4 linked regions of the Saccharomyces cerevisiae S288C genome follow. The gene in region 2 interacts genetically with the main gene of each other region. Each region holds a gene or a part of one and is shown on either strand. Other genes may lie near its edges. The genes, in order: PWP1, ESC2, AQY3 and PUT2.

Region 1 (4,134 bases), on a different chromosome or scaffold from region 2:
TTGCGAAGTCAACGCGTTAAAAACATCCATATTAGCGTTTTTGGCCAAAATACAAGCGTCATAAATCAATTCACACAATCTTGTTTTCAAAGCCTTAGTAGCTTTTGGATCAAACCTGTCTTTGAATTGGAAATCTGCATCGGTGGCATAATAATACAAGTACCCGATGCCTAGGTCCTTATATTTTGTGTTATTTAGGATTGTGAATGGCAATGAGTAAAATGAGAAGAAGTCTGTAATTTTTCCATCGGGCTGTTCGACTACATATGAGAAAATTACTTGTTTATCCAATGGTAACGATTCTTCACCAATGAAATTATGTTCGAATTCTTCTTTTGTGAAAATTTGAATTAGTTCGAACCTGGATTGATATCTTTTGAACAACTCAAAAACTTGGTCAATATCTTCCTTCTTTAATTTTCTCAATCCCGCTGTCTTTGTTTTGGCCGGTAACGCATTCTCAGCAATCATATCCTCCTCTGTGTGCCCATCTGGTAACCCTGTGAAATCTACTTCATAAAGTTTCTTCCAATTCAAGGGACGATGAGTATAACGACACGTACTCACAGGTGCTGGCAAAACAATACCTGCCGTGTACAATGCATGCCAGATGTCACATTTGTTCACTCGTCTCGTAATTTCTTTAATTAGAACAGGTGTTAATCTCTTCGATCTTAGCTGTTTGTGAACGCACAAGAAATTGATTTCTACACTAGGCACTTGTTTACCTCTAACACCAAGTGTTACTGGTATGGCTGAGATAAAGGCAACTAATTTCTGTGTTTCTTTAACGCGAACACCAATATGCCAATCCTTCTTCCAACCTGGACTCTTTAAAGCCCAATTGAAGAATTCTTTGGTATAGTTAAATCTGAAGCCTGCATCGCGGTCTTCCACGTAGTTTTCATTTAGTAGAACGAAAACATCTTCAAGCTGTTTTTTGTTGTCCACATCAATACTACACCATTCGAAGCTAGACAATAAAGGTAGTGGCTTGTCAGATATATCTTCCGGTGTCTTTGGCTTATCAATGGGGCCTTCTTCCACCACCTTTTCATCGAAATCTTTGACCGGTTGCGTTCTCCAGAATTTGTGGTCTTTCATAGCTTTTTTCTGTTCTTGAGTGAATTTTGAAGTATCGTCATTATTCAACTGTAATAACTTCAATAAATTCTCTAATTTTTTCGCTTTATCCTCTTCTGACATTCTATAAATACGTTTACTACCGAAGCTCTATGACAACCAGAGCTATTGTACAGATCATTCTCTAAAAAGCGTGCAACACATATCATCTTCAATTATAGTGAATTACTTTTATCATGAGCAACGGCTGAAATTATTTTATCCTATTGTTTTATGACAGTATCCTTTCAAAAGAGTCGAAAGGATCCTCTGTTGCAAGAACTACTATTACGTAATTATACATAGTCCGCCTGCAATTTCTAGTGAGACTTTGCTTTGCTTTCCACTTTGCGATTAATATTGAGAATTTTAAACGTTAACTGAATTCTTACCCACCCATAATAAGAACTCTAACTGGCGAATTTATCATGAAACAAATCTGCAAGAATAAAAAATTAGAGAATCGTGCAATTCAATTTAATTGCCTTGTCCGTTGTAAAACTTTTCCATAGGCCCTACCTTGAGTTGATCATATGTATTATTCTATATATATTATATCCAGTCGGGTAATAAATTTTCTCGCCCTCGAAAAAAAGAAGTGAAAAATTTGTCTCGATGAGCTGAGATGAGTTTGAAAGAAGCAAAGAGTTTTAATTTGTAAACGATAGCAAGTGTACCCTCAGTTGAGTCTATTACGCCTTCCTTATTTGGAAACTTAGAAGACGAATAAAAAAAACAAAATAACTAATGATTTCTGCTACTAATTGGGTTCCAAGAGGGTTTTCCTCGGAATTTCCTGAAAAGTATGTTCTGGATGATGAGGAAGTGGAAAGAATTAACCAATTAGCACAGTTGAATTTGGATGATGCTAAAGCTACTTTGGAAGAAGCAGAAGGCGAATCAGGTGTTGAAGATGACGCCGCAACAGGTAGTTCTAATAAGTTGAAGGATCAGTTGGATATAGATGATGATTTGAAAGAATATAACCTGGAAGAATATGACGATGAGGAAATTGCAGATAATGAGGGTGGTAAAGACGTTTCCATGTTCCCGGGTTTAAGTAATGATAGCGATGTTAAATTCCATGAGGGTGAAAAAGGTGAAGATCCATATATTTCATTGCCTAATCAAGAGGATAGTCAAGAGGAGAAGCAGGAGTTACAAGTTTACCCATCCGATAATTTAGTTCTTGCTGCGAGAACAGAAGATGACGTTTCGTATTTGGATATCTACGTTTACGATGACGGTGCTGGGTTCCACAGTAGCGATATTCCCGTTGAAGAAGGTGATGAAGCTGACCCAGATGTTGCTCGTGGATTGGTTCGTGACCCTGCACTTTACGTTCACCATGATTTAATGTTGCCTGCTTTTCCACTATGTGTTGAGTGGCTTGACTACAAGGTTGGATCCAATTCCGAAGAAGCAGCCAATTATGCTGCCATTGGTACGTTTGATCCACAAATTGAAATTTGGAACTTGGACTGTGTTGACAAGGCCTTTCCCGATATGATTCTGGGTGAACCTCTTGATAATTCAATGGTGTCTTTGAAAAGCAAAAAGAAGAAGAAGAAGTCTAAGACTGGACACATTACTACTCATCATACCGATGCTGTTTTATCCATGGCACACAACAAATATTTCCGTTCCGTTTTAGCATCCACCTCTGCAGATCATACCGTAAAACTATGGGATTTGAACTCAGGTAACGCAGCCCGCTCCTTAGCTTCCATTCATTCAAACAAAAATGTTTCATCATCTGAATGGCACATGTTGAATGGTTCCATTCTTTTGACCGGTGGTTATGATTCTCGAGTAGCTTTAACAGATGTTAGAATTTCTGACGAAAGTCAAATGAGTAAATACTGGTCTGCCATGGCAGGTGAGGAAATAGAAACTGTTACATTTGCCAGTGAAAATATAATATTATGTGGTACTGATTCTGGTAATGTGTATTCTTTCGATATTAGAAACAATGAAAACCGTAAACCAGTTTGGACATTGAAGGCACACGATGCTGGTATCTCCACATTATGTTCAAACAAATTCATCCCTGGTATGATGAGTACAGGGGCCATGGGTGAAAAGACTGTCAAATTATGGAAATTCCCCTTGGATGATGCTACGAACACTAAGGGCCCAAGCATGGTTCTGTCTCGTGATTTCGATGTCGGAAATGTATTGACATCGTCATTCGCTCCAGACATCGAGGTAGCGGGTACCATGGTCATTGGTGGTGTCAATAAAGTTTTGAAACTATGGGACGTTTTTACCAATAGATCTGTACGTAAGAGCTTTAAAAGTGAACTAGAGAATGTTCAAGCAAGAGCAAAAGAAGAAGCCCAAAAAATAGGAAAAAGTTCAAGAATCGCCAGAAAATACACCAGTAACGATAACCCAGATACTGTTATAACCATTGATGATCAAGGTGAAGATGAAGAAGAAAGAGAAGGTGGAGATGAGCATGATGACATGGCATAATCTGGATATGAAAAATATTAAAGCAGAGTACATTGCAAGTACAAATAAAAAATCTATAGAAGATAATACTGTATACTAGTGTAAGAGGAGCCTCAGAAAAAAACAATATAATACATTAATATGTGCTGTTACGGTATAATTTAGCATATGATGACAATGTGGTGAATTACAGTTGTGTAACTTTTTTATATCACCCGGCATATATACGCTCGTAGAATGCGATGTGAAAATTTTCTTTTTTTTTTTTTTTCAAAGTGAAATTTTTTTGAGTGATGAGATGGGAAATGAAAAATTTTGTGCAATTGCGTAGTGTCTACAGTTTTTTAAGTAGTTATTAAAAGTGTTTTGGAAGGTATATTTCTAGGAGAAGAAGCGTGCAGAACAGTATTTAGTGAAAGATGGCTCCTATTGAATACCTACTGTTTGAAGAACCTACTGGTTACGCAGTTTTCAAGGTTAAGTTGCAACAAGATGACATTGGTTCAAGATTAAAAGAAGTTCAAGAGCAAATCAATGATTTTGGTGCTTTTACAA
Region 2 (3,769 bases):
TCAAACTCTGCTACAAATCCGTTCTTAAAGCCACAAACAACAGTAGTAGGAGATAAAAAATCAAAAGTAGTTATCAAACTGTCTGCCAGGGATAAAGTCAAAGAAGGCTTCTCACACATCTTAAACACGTGAACATCGGTTGCATTATCAATAATTTCCAAAAAATTTATTGTCCCTTCCTGGCTTACGAATGATAAACAGCCAACCAGATGAGGTGCGTGACATCCTTCGTGCCATTTAAGATCCCACACTTCACCAAATGAGTGTACAATGGTTTGAACTTTTACGCAATGTAGAGTAGAAGTATTCATTTTGAAAATTTGTATACAGGAGGAGTGCTTCTCCTTGTCAAACATTTCTAAATGCTCGTTCAAAGGCTCATCCATGTACTGTGATACCGCGACGGCTAAATATTGTATATCCTTGCCTATATCAGTATTTTCCTCTATATTAAGCCATGCAATATCTGTTACCAATCCTCCTACGTTGTAAATAAAGCCGCGCCTTTTGCCGTTAGCAAGCACCGGAAACTCTATTTTATCGCCAGTGGATACCTCTGCATCAACTTCCCCGATAAGTAACTTCAATCTCTTCGTTCTCAATTTGATCATATTCTCAAATTCAGTCTTATTAATTTCATGATATACGGTTCTGTTTTTATCCCCTATGACTTTATTATATGCACTTTCCTTTTTACACGGTGGATCTAAGCATACAAAATATGGAGAATCAGGCTGAATATTCTTGAATGGGAAATCGAAAACGCTAGTTTCAAAGCCTTCCTTAACTTTTGCTAGCAACAATAACTTTTCCTTATTCAGTCCATAAATTCTTTCAATCTTGTCTCTTGCACTCGAAAGATCTTTTAGGAGCCTGATGGGACGGCCCTTCTGTCCTAGACTTGACCCTGGGGAGCTGCTCTTCATATTTTTAGTCGAATTCTTCTTCAAACGAAGTTTCTGTACAGTATTTCTTCTTCCACTGGGTCTAACAGAAGCTCCACTTCCACTACTGTTTAAATCCGCCACCTCATTTTTAGTAGACTCTAACTCATTCTCAAATTCTATCTCAACATTGTCACTTTCCTCACCATCACCTTCATCATTCAATACAAAATCATCATCGTCGGTGTCATCAACATTATTGACTTGTGTAGTATTTATCACATCATCGCGACCAGCATGCACTAATTGTGCGAAATTTGCAACTGCTTTCTTAGATGCGTTTCTCCTCGGCCTTTTACTGCCTGAGTTTTCAGATACTGGGCTTGCCAAGCTATCATAGGGAACTTCTGCTACCACAGATTTTCTAGGTCTTCCTCTTTTCTTTGCCGGTATTACTGCCATCGCCACAACTTAATATATTATTACACGTATCGCAATGGAGCAAGTTAGAGAAATTTCGCTAATGGATCAAAGAGTACTAGCTTTAGTTTTTAGGACATGAAACTGCTCTTACTGAGTAGAAATCAAAGCTTTAACAACTCATCCAGGCTTTCTCGAACAAAAAATGGAATGTTGTTTATCTTCTTTTGCAACGTAGGGTTTTCGAACCGCAGCTTTCCGGGTGATACTGAATCCCTTCTATTTCCTTACAGAAGACAGCAAATTTTATTGTAGCATATAAGAAAAGAAATGACAGGCAGAGGAGGGACCAGCATGCCTATGAATTCCCAATACCATATATCACTTTGACAGCGTATATCGCAATTGAAATAGAACAACTTTTCATTATTACTTCAGAATTCATTTTAAAGTGATTGCGAACACGGATTATAGCCCTGAACAATAAAAGGCAAGAGAAAAAATCATTTGTTTTAGGCTGTTAACAGATGACCGGTGATTCCAGAAGCATCAGCGAACCCTCAATTAATCTAGATCCAGATAATACAAGTTTTTCTGATGAAAACAGCGATGACTTCTTTATGGACAATTCCTATGATATAGATGAAATCGATCATAGCGATGAAAGTAATAGGCAAAGTGTCATAGTTGACTCTAAAGTCACGGTACCGCCATCAAAGCATTCAACTCTAACATTATCTGATAGTGAAGATAGCGACGCAAAGGAACAACATCAGTCCCTGAGCAGATCATCTAGTAAAAATGTAAATATAGAAGATATTACGGAGCCCAAGCCAGACAAACCATCGGGTCGAACTAGAGGAAGATCTGTGATGAAAGAGTCTGTAGTTGAAATAAACTCATCTGAATCTGACTTAGACGAAGACAAAAATTTTCCCAGATCTAGGTCAAGGTCCAGGTCAAGCATAAGATCAATATCTCCAGCGGGAAAATACAAGCGACAGAAAAGTTCATTACTGTATACCTATGATGAAAACGATGACTTTTTCAAGGAACTTGCTAAAGAAGCCAAAAAAAGCACCACTATTTCTAAAGAATCGACACCCGACCAGCGGAAGCGAGTTTATAACATCAAATTTCTCTCTAAGCTAGAAGGAACTATAAATAAAGCGGTCCAAGTGAAGGTCCTCGGAAAATACGAATTTTCAAAAATACTTCCTGCTGCTTTGGACGGATTGATGAAGTCCTATAAAATTCCGAAGGTAATGAAAGATATATACAAGGTAGAGAATGTTACTCTTTATTGGAACAATGCAAAATTACTCACTTTTATGACTTGTAATTCGCTACATATCCCACAGGATTTTGAAAATGAAGTCTCTGATATCGATGTTACTATCGTATCCAAAGAATACGAAAAGAACTTTGAAGCGACACTGGAATCAAAGTTAAAGGAAGAAGAAGCTGCTTTACTCATAAAAGAACGTCAGGAGATGGAAAGGAAGTTAGAGAAAAAGAGAAATGAACAAGAAGAGTCCGAATATCGCGAGTTTGAATCCGAATTAAAAAACGTAGAAGAAACACAAGAAATAAAAGAAAATGATACAGTTATGAATACAAAACTTCTGCAAGAGGGTGGCTCTTTGTCAGGAAATAGTAGTAGCATGGAAGAAGTTATGAGAATCGCTCTCATGGGTCAAGATAACAAAAAAATCTATGTCCATGTTAGGCGTTCAACACCATTTTCTAAAATTGCCGAATATTACAGAATCCAGAAACAGTTACCACAAAAGACGAGGGTTAAATTACTTTTTGATCATGATGAATTGGACATGAATGAGTGTATAGCCGATCAGGATATGGAAGATGAAGACATGGTTGATGTCATTATTGATTGAGCGCAATTTGCTAAAAAAGGCCGAACTCCGGCTCTTTACGTGCCACAATTATTATTTACTATGGGCGGCGGGTGTGTTGGTGGTGCTTGCGGTACTTGTAAAATATTTTCTGAATATAATTGAATAAGACCTTTTGTGTTTAAATCATACTCGGGTAATTCTCTGTTCAAAAAGTAGGTGCTGACCCTCTTCTACCTTCCGTGAAATATTATAAAGGAATTTTTCCATCTCTAACTCAACATGTTAACGCTTTTCTATAAAAATTTGATCGCCTAATGAATACAAAAATCTCTTCAGCTTTTTCGTGCTAGGTTTGAATAGTACATCTAACGTAGAACAACTATCAAAACAATTTGATATTTCCTCGGCTATAGTTTTCTTGGAACAAGAGGTAAACTACTTCTCTATTGTTGCTACAGCAGTCAATTAAAATAATTCGTTTCATCATAATATTATGATATCAACGCTAAAAGGTTGTATAAATTACGAGATCAGCAGAAAATAAAATTCAAGCCATCATCCTTTAAGGTGATTTGAAGGGCAAGAATTGGTAGTGTAACTGCATCA
Region 3 (4,088 bases), on a different chromosome or scaffold from region 2:
AAGCGTTCATAAGAGTGATACCAAACCCAGGACCATTCAATGCAGTAATGAATGCTCCAGTAATCGTTCTCTTGGGCACAATTTGATACTTATCAATCAATTGTTCAGAAATGACCTCTGCAGCATAACCCAATTCTAGATTAGACATACCACCCATGTTGTTAACCATAAGAACTACGTCCTCTTTGGGCTCAAACTTCACATAAGAACGGTCTTCATCCTCATCGAGAAGAAGAGGAAGCATCTGGGAAACGAGCTCAGAAATCGATGGCAGCGGAGAAGACTTATAGGTACCAGACTCGTTATGAATACCCATACCGATTTCATACTCATTCTCGCCCAAAATGGCTTCAGGTTTGTGGCCAGGAACCGTGCAGTGATCAAGAGATGCCGCAATTGTGACACTATTGTCAACTACTGACTGAGCAACTTCGGCAACTTCTGCCAACTCCAGTCCATGAGAAGCGGCTGCCCCAGCAATTTTATGCACCAATACGGTGGCTCCGAGACCTCGACGCCCGACTAAAGAACCTTTCTTCTTACCGACAGAGACATCATCTCCTACAGCAACCAGTTCGACTTTCATTCCAGCAGCTTTAGCTCTTTCAGCAGCGAGACCAAAATGTATAATATCACCGGTGTAATTTTTTACAATGATCAAGGTACCCTTAGGAGATTCAACAGCTTTAATAGCAGAATAGATCTGTTTAGTTGAAGGAGAAGCAAAAATGGCACCTGCTGCAATCGCATCTAAGGCACCTTCACCAACAAAACCGGCATGCGTTGGCTCATGACCACTGCCACCTCCAGAAACCAATGAAACTTTAGGAGGGTTCCCTGAATTAGGAGCTGACGCAGTCCGGAAAACCACTCTGTCGTGCTTAATCACTGTAAGGCCGGGATTGCTTCGAGCAAGGCCAAGTAGGTAGGGAGTAACGATGTTTCCATCTGATTTGAATTGTTTGTGAGACATGATTATTTAGTCAATTGTAGTTGGGTTTTGTCAGATTTTGAGGTAAAATACACTTTACAGACAATACTAGAAAAAAAAAGGGCTGATCTGGGTTCATTTATATATATTTAATGATCCAAAGTTTGAAAATTCAATCACACATTGCGGTATTTTCCCCTTCTCGTATTGTTGAGATCCTTATACAATATCAAGTACTTAATTATCCAACTATGGTGACGTAAGAATTTACTTGGCTCAATATCTCCCTATTTGGTACTACGATACGATTTCATGAAATTATGAGTTAAATAATTTAGAATCTAGTTATGGCCTGGCGGGAATTGTTTCTGTGCAGGGATTTACTCACAATCACCCTCTGCGGGAATAATATGCATAGGTTGTGATTAATTTTTTAAATTAAGTTCCATCAGAAGGCCTAGTTTTCTCCGTTGATAACTCCGCTCCGGAATATCATAATTTTCCGGTACCCCACTTACCCCGGAAATTTGAGTTATAAACGTTGTTTGAGCTTTACCTAGTCTTGGTCGATCAAAAGTTCTGGTACCTTTTCACCATGTCTCCCCCTTATTCATATAAAAAGAAGCGTATAATCGCACAGTATAACGCTCCTCTGATATATGATCTAGACCCAAGTAATGAGTTACGAATCTGGGAGGTCATCCTCCTCTTCCGAGAGTACACGGCCACCAACGCTAAAAGAAGAACCTAATGGTAAAATAGCTTGGGAAGAAAGTGTCAAAAAATCTAGGGAAAATAACGAAAATGACAGCACTCTCTTGAGGCGAAAGCTAGGTGAGACTCGAAAAGCAATTGAAACTGGAGGATCATCGAGAAATAAACTTTCTGCTTTGACACCCTTGAAAAAAGTGGTTGACGAGAGGAAGGATTCGGTACAACCACAGGTCCCTTCCATGGGTTTTACTTATTCTTTGCCTAATTTGAAGACTTTAAACAGTTTTTCAGATGCTGAGCAAGCACGTATAATGCAAGATTATCTATCCAGGGGGGTAAATCAAGGCAACAGTAATAATTATGTAGACCCACTATATCGGCAATTAAATCCAACTATGGGTAGTAGCAGGAACAGGCCTGTTTGGAGTTTAAATCAGCCGTTACCGCATGTATTGGATCGAGGCTTGGCAGCAAAGATGATACAAAAGAATATGGATGCAAGGTCCCGCGCATCATCGAGACGAGGGTCGACCGATATTTCAAGGGGGGGTTCTACTACGTCAGTGAAAGACTGGAAAAGGCTCCTTAGAGGTGCAGCACCGGGTAAAAAGCTTGGTGACATCGAAGCTCAAACGCAACGCGATAATACTGTTGGTGCAGATGTGAAACCTACTAAGTTAGAGCCTGAAAACCCACAAAAGCCCTCTAACACGCATATTGAGAATGTTTCACGTAAGAAAAAGCGTACTTCGCATAATGTCAATTTTTCATTAGGCGATGAAAGCTACGCATCCTCCATAGCCGATGCAGAATCCAGAAAATTAAAGAACATGCAAACCCTCGATGGTTCTACTCCGGTTTATACGAAGCTTCCTGAAGAACTTATTGAAGAGGAAAATAAAAGTACGAGTGCATTAGATGGTAATGAAATTGGTGCCTCAGAAGATGAAGACGCGGATATAATGACATTTCCTAACTTTTGGGCAAAAATTCGCTATCATATGCGAGAACCGTTTGCGGAGTTTCTCGGGACACTAGTTCTTGTCATTTTTGGTGTTGGTGGTAATCTTCAAGCAACTGTAACAAAAGGTAGTGGTGGTTCCTATGAATCCCTATCATTTGCATGGGGGTTCGGTTGTATGCTTGGTGTTTACGTCGCAGGCGGTATTAGTGGTGGTCATATTAACCCTGCTGTTACGATTTCAATGGCAATTTTTCGAAAATTCCCCTGGAAAAAGGTGCCCGTATATATTGTTGCTCAGATTATCGGTGCATATTTTGGAGGAGCTATGGCTTATGGTTATTTTTGGAGCTCTATCACAGAATTTGAGGGAGGTCCGCACATAAGAACAACGGCGACCGGTGCGTGTTTGTTTACTGATCCAAAGTCTTACGTCACGTGGAGAAATGCCTTCTTTGACGAATTCATAGGAGCCTCTATACTTGTGGGTTGTTTGATGGCGCTATTGGATGATAGTAATGCTCCACCTGGCAATGGTATGACCGCATTAATTATTGGATTCTTAGTCGCTGCAATTGGTATGGCCCTTGGATATCAAACAAGTTTCACAATCAATCCTGCAAGAGATCTCGGTCCTCGCATATTTGCTTCCATGATTGGCTATGGTCCACATGCTTTTCATCTCACACATTGGTGGTGGACATGGGGAGCCTGGGGTGGTCCAATTGCCGGCGGTATTGCTGGAGCACTCATATATGACATTTTCATTTTTACTGGATGCGAATCCCCAGTCAACTACCCAGACAACGGTTATATTGAGAATAGGGTAGGTAAACTTTTACATGCGGAGTTCCACCAGAATGATGGCACTGTCTCAGATGAATCTGGTGTTAACAGCAACAGCAACACTGGCAGCAAGAAATCTGTGCCTACTTCGTCATAATTAATATTTTCAATTTTTTACGATTTATAACCTAATTATTAATTTCACGAACTTATTATTTGACGACATACTACATCCGGGAGCCGTGACTTTGTTACCATCTCTTACTTGTGCTCTAAATTCTATCGTTTTGTTTTTGTAATAAAGAATGAGACTGCCTGCGGCTTAATTGTCTTTTTATTGTAGGCAAGAACAAAATTCGACTAATACGTAAAATTAAATGTCAAACCAGGAGTCTCACATTATGTTATTAATAAAAATAATAAAATTTTCAGCTCGTTGACGATAGGAAAATTCCTGGCACCATCAACTAGGTAATCCCACTGAAGATGTGTTTTATATGAATATGTGCTATATTTACTAATAATAAAGAGCAAGTTGCCAAATAAACTAATTGTGCTCAAAGAAAATTATTGTCATTATCATATATTTTCTCATATGCAATTTCAATCAATTTTAGACAAGTGATTATATATATGTAAACGGTTGTTTTTTGATGTTACGTTCTGTATGATTGACCAATGCTATTTTTCTCATGC
Region 4 (4,125 bases), on a different chromosome or scaffold from region 2:
TGCGACGCCTGTATTGGCGAAAACAAAAAGTAAAGAAAAAAAAACTTTAGATGAAATAGAGCAAAATTCCCTAAGACAATAGAAGATACAAAAGCAAGTTGGGCCCTTAATTTCATCAAAGGTATAGCATCTCATCAAATAGTCGCTTGTTTATCGCAATACTTGCTTATTGAGTAGTTGTATTATAACGTTATATAGGATCTTCCATATGGAAAGTTTTGAAAATTTGAGCATAAGAGACAGTTTCACTAGCGGAATGGAACACGTTGACGAGGAGTTAGGAGGCCTCTCCGACCTAAGTATATCTAAGCAGGGGCCAACTTTGTCACCACAGCTTATCAACCGATTTATGCCCCATTTTCCCTCGAGCCCATCACCTCTGCGAAATACATTGGATTTTAGTGCTGCTAAAGCTGATGAGGAAGAAGATGACCGAATGGAAATAGATGAGGTTGATGATACAAGTTTTGAAGAAGAATATAATAACGAGCCAATCGAAACTCATACTGAAGCGACTGAGAATGCCGTGGTGGAAGAAATCGAGGCTACCCCAGAAGAAAGACAAAAGCAAGAGAAGAATGAAAGCCAAGACCAAAGTGTAGAAGAGGTCGAGAACATTGTTTCACCGCATCGTTCAACTGTCATAAAGGCATTATTATCACCGACCGATTTAGGTGTGGCCGCAGCTACTAAAGTTGAAGGTGTTGTGCCATTACCACCATCGGCCAATCAAGATGACAATGAAAGTTCGAATAACAACGCAGAGGGTGAAGACATAATCAGAAATGAAGAAGTCGAAGATGAGATCAAATCATCACTTGGCAACCACAAGTCAAGCCAGTACGCAAATGCGTTCGATTCGGAAATAATCAAGAGGGAATTAAGATCAAGATCAAAATATCAACCAATTCAGGTTTCATTCAATACACACAACTACTTCTATTCAGATAAGGACGGCATTAAAACTTATTCTCTTACTAAACCAAATCACAATAAAATAGATGAATTTTACGACCAAAATGAAGCTTTCAAGTTGCCTAAACCATGGTCACCCAATTCACATCCGGCATCAAGAGCGTCATATGCCCTAATGTCATATTTACAGTTATTTCTCAATGCGATCACTACAGTAGTGATTTTTAGTTTTATACTCTCATTTATCATAGCGCTTCAAAAGGACTTGAAATCCACATGGGAACAAAGAAAACATGAACTGCAGTACGAATCCAGAATTTGTCAAGAGCAGTACCTCACAAATCGTTGTAACCAGACGCCTGGCTTGCCGGCTCTGGGCGAACAATGTGCTATATGGAAACAGTGTATGGACAGAAATAACGATATCTTTTTCCGTGCAAGATCAACGTTGAGCGCAAAATTGTTCGGAGACATTATCAACTCATTCATAGATCCATTAAACTGGAAAACACTATTTGTTATTTTTTGTGGTGTGATAACTTGGTGTTTCAGTTCGAATTTCTTACTGGGTTTTGTAAGAGCCAAGAGCTACTATGGCAATGGCATCAAAACATATCCCTTGCCATCTTCACCGAAATCGCCGACATCAGAAGAAACACACTCATCTATGACAGCATCTGGAGAGGACTCACACCTACTTAAGCAATAGATTGTGCTATCTGGGACAGTAACAATGCTTATCTACGCCATCGGACATCTCGGGAAGCCAACTCCGAAGCCGACAAAAATTGGATAGGCCTACTATATAAGGGTGACAGGACAGCTGACTTTACTCCAGAAGTATATCCATGGAAAATATGTAATAATACAAACAAGTTAATATAATCTATATTGTATAGAAGGCCAATTCAAATTCACAGGAATTATGCTATCAGCAAGGTGCCTCAAATCTATATACTTCAAGAGATCTTTCTCACAACTGGGACACATCAAGCCCCCCAAGCACATAAGAAATGAACCTGTTAAGCCATTTAGAAACATAGACTTAAAAGACTGGGACTTACTGAGGGCTTCCTTGATGAAATTCAAAAGTTCTTCTTTAGAAGTGCCACTGGTCATCAATGGGGAAAGGATATATGACAATAATGAAAGAGCGCTTTTCCCGCAGACTAACCCTGCGAACCATCAACAAGTACTGGCAAACGTCACACAAGCCACGGAAAAAGATGTCATGAATGCTGTAAAAGCCGCCAAGGATGCCAAAAAGGATTGGTACAATCTACCGTTTTATGACAGATCTGCAATTTTTTTGAAAGCCGCTGACTTAATTTCCACCAAGTATCGTTATGACATGTTAGCTGCTACAATGCTGGGCCAGGGAAAAAATGTGTATCAGGCAGAAATCGACTGTATCACGGAATTATCTGACTTTTTTAGATACTATGTCAAGTATGCATCAGACTTGTATGCTCAACAACCCGTAGAGTCAGCGGATGGTACTTGGAATAAAGCTGAATACAGACCTTTAGAGGGATTTGTGTATGCTGTTTCACCATTCAACTTTACTGCTATTGCTGCAAACTTGATTGGGGCTCCAGCTTTGATGGGTAATACAGTTGTCTGGAAACCTTCACAAACCGCTGCCCTTTCAAATTACTTATTGATGACTGTTTTGGAAGAAGCGGGATTGCCAAAGGGTGTCATAAATTTCATTCCAGGTGATCCAGTTCAAGTTACTGACCAGGTATTAGCTGATAAAGATTTTGGTGCCTTGCATTTTACCGGTTCTACAAATGTCTTTAAGAGTTTGTATGGCAAAATACAAAGTGGCGTTGTTGAAGGGAAGTACAGAGATTACCCCCGTATTATTGGTGAGACAGGTGGTAAAAATTTCCATCTAGTTCACCCAAGTGCAAATATATCACATGCAGTACTCTCTACTATTAGAGGCACTTTCGAGTTCCAAGGCCAAAAGTGCTCTGCCGCTTCCAGGTTATATCTTCCAGAGTCAAAAAGTGAAGAATTCTTATCCGATATGTTTGGCATATTGCAGTCACAGAATGTTGTCCCAATGAACACATCCGCAAGTCCAATTTCTGGTGGGAATTTGCGGGGATTTATGGGTCCTGTCATCCATGAACAAAGTTTCGACAAATTAGTTAAAGTAATTGAAGATGCAAAGAAAGACCCCGAGTTGGAAATTCTTTACGGTGGACAATACGATAAAAGCCAAGGTTGGTTTGTCGGACCCACAGTCATAAAAGCCAAGAGACCAGATCATCCATATATGTCAACAGAATTTTTTGGCCCTATATTAACTGTTTACGAGTATCCAGATACTGAATTTAATGAAATCTGTGATATTATCGATAATACGAGTCAATACGCCTTAACTGGTGCTATTTTTGCCAAAGATCGTAAAGCAATTGAATACGCAGATGAGAAGTTGAAGTTTAGCGCAGGAAATTTCTACATAAATGATAAGTGTACTGGTGCCGTTGTTTCTCAGCAATGGTTTGGTGGCGCAAGAATGAGTGGTACCGACGATAAGGCTGGTGGTCCAAACATTTTAAGCAGATTTGTCAGTATTAGAAACACAAAGGAGAACTTCTACGAGTTGACTGATTTCAAATATCCATCGAATTATGAATAAAAAAATTTTTGTGGAATAGAACCGCGAATGCAGTCACTTCATCCATCAACTCATGTAAATGTTAGATTATCGAAAAAAGGGTTTTGATTACTTCATTAGGTTTTTTTAGTTTTACAATTTTAATTTATCTAGGTAAATAGTTTAAAAATATTCATTGAACCAACCGTCCAAATTCCCGTTCTATATTCTGTCATGACTTACTTATTCACGTTGCTATTTATTCGCCGCATATTCATTCTGTTTTTGGCATAAGGACCCGTCCGGAAACAGAACATCAATTTATTAAATACGTCCATTCGTAAGCTTAAAGATGGAAACTTTGGCGAGCAGTCCCTGACAAGAAAAATAACAGCAAGAAATAATGATTTTAACCACAGCTAGATTAAATTGTAGACCAGTCACCGTTCCTCGTCTATTTAATCGTTCTTTTAGTCAATCTTTCATAATTTTGAAGAAAAAAAGTTCTACCCCTACTGAGAAAGTCGAAGAAGATGAAATTGACGTGAATGAACTGCTGAAAAAGGCAGAAACTCAATTCAAAAAAACTTTAGAAATTC

What was found.
Region 1: mutations in ESC2 (region 2) and PWP1 together harm fitness more than expected from each alone (negative genetic interaction), as found in Saccharomyces cerevisiae (one large-scale study listed by BioGRID).
Region 3: mutations in ESC2 (region 2) and AQY3 together harm fitness more than expected from each alone (negative genetic interaction), as found in Saccharomyces cerevisiae (one large-scale study listed by BioGRID).
Region 4: mutations in ESC2 (region 2) and PUT2 together harm fitness more than expected from each alone (negative genetic interaction), as found in Saccharomyces cerevisiae (one large-scale study listed by BioGRID).

Annotation. Positions count from the first base shown.
Region 1 is NC_001144.5:542,099-546,232, forward strand, and holds PWP1 (rRNA-processing protein PWP1), read left to right. Parts: upstream 1-1,869; coding exon 1,870-3,600; downstream 3,601-4,134. Other genes in the region: glycylpeptide N-tetradecanoyltransferase NMT1, read right to left, coding at 1-1,206; snoRNP complex protein NOP56, read left to right, coding at 3,999-4,134.
Region 2 is NC_001136.10:1,197,352-1,201,120, forward strand, and holds ESC2 (Esc2p), read left to right. Parts: upstream 1-1,831; coding exon 1,832-3,202; downstream 3,203-3,769. Other genes in the region: transcription factor TFIIIC subunit TFC6, read right to left, coding at 1-1,346. UniProt on the Saccharomyces cerevisiae protein: May be a substrate targeting component of a cullin-RING-based E3 ubiquitin-protein ligase complex RTT101(MMS1-ESC2). Involved in HMR and telomere silencing via the recruitment or stabilizing of the SIR (silent information regulators) complex.
Region 3 is NC_001138.5:20,308-24,395, reverse strand, and holds AQY3 (Aqy3p), read left to right. Parts: upstream 1-1,608; coding exon 1,609-3,549; downstream 3,550-4,088. Other genes in the region: DAK2 (dihydroxyacetone kinase), read right to left, coding at 1-973. UniProt on the Saccharomyces cerevisiae protein: Channel protein that mediates glycerol entry under ethanol stimulation. Does not seem to mediate glycerol uptake under standard conditions.
Region 4 is NC_001140.6:180,137-184,261, forward strand, and holds PUT2 (1-pyrroline-5-carboxylate dehydrogenase), read left to right. Parts: upstream 1-1,840; coding exon 1,841-3,568; downstream 3,569-4,125. Other genes in the region: BRL1 (Brl1p), read left to right, coding at 209-1,624; RRF1 (Rrf1p), read left to right, coding at 3,930-4,125.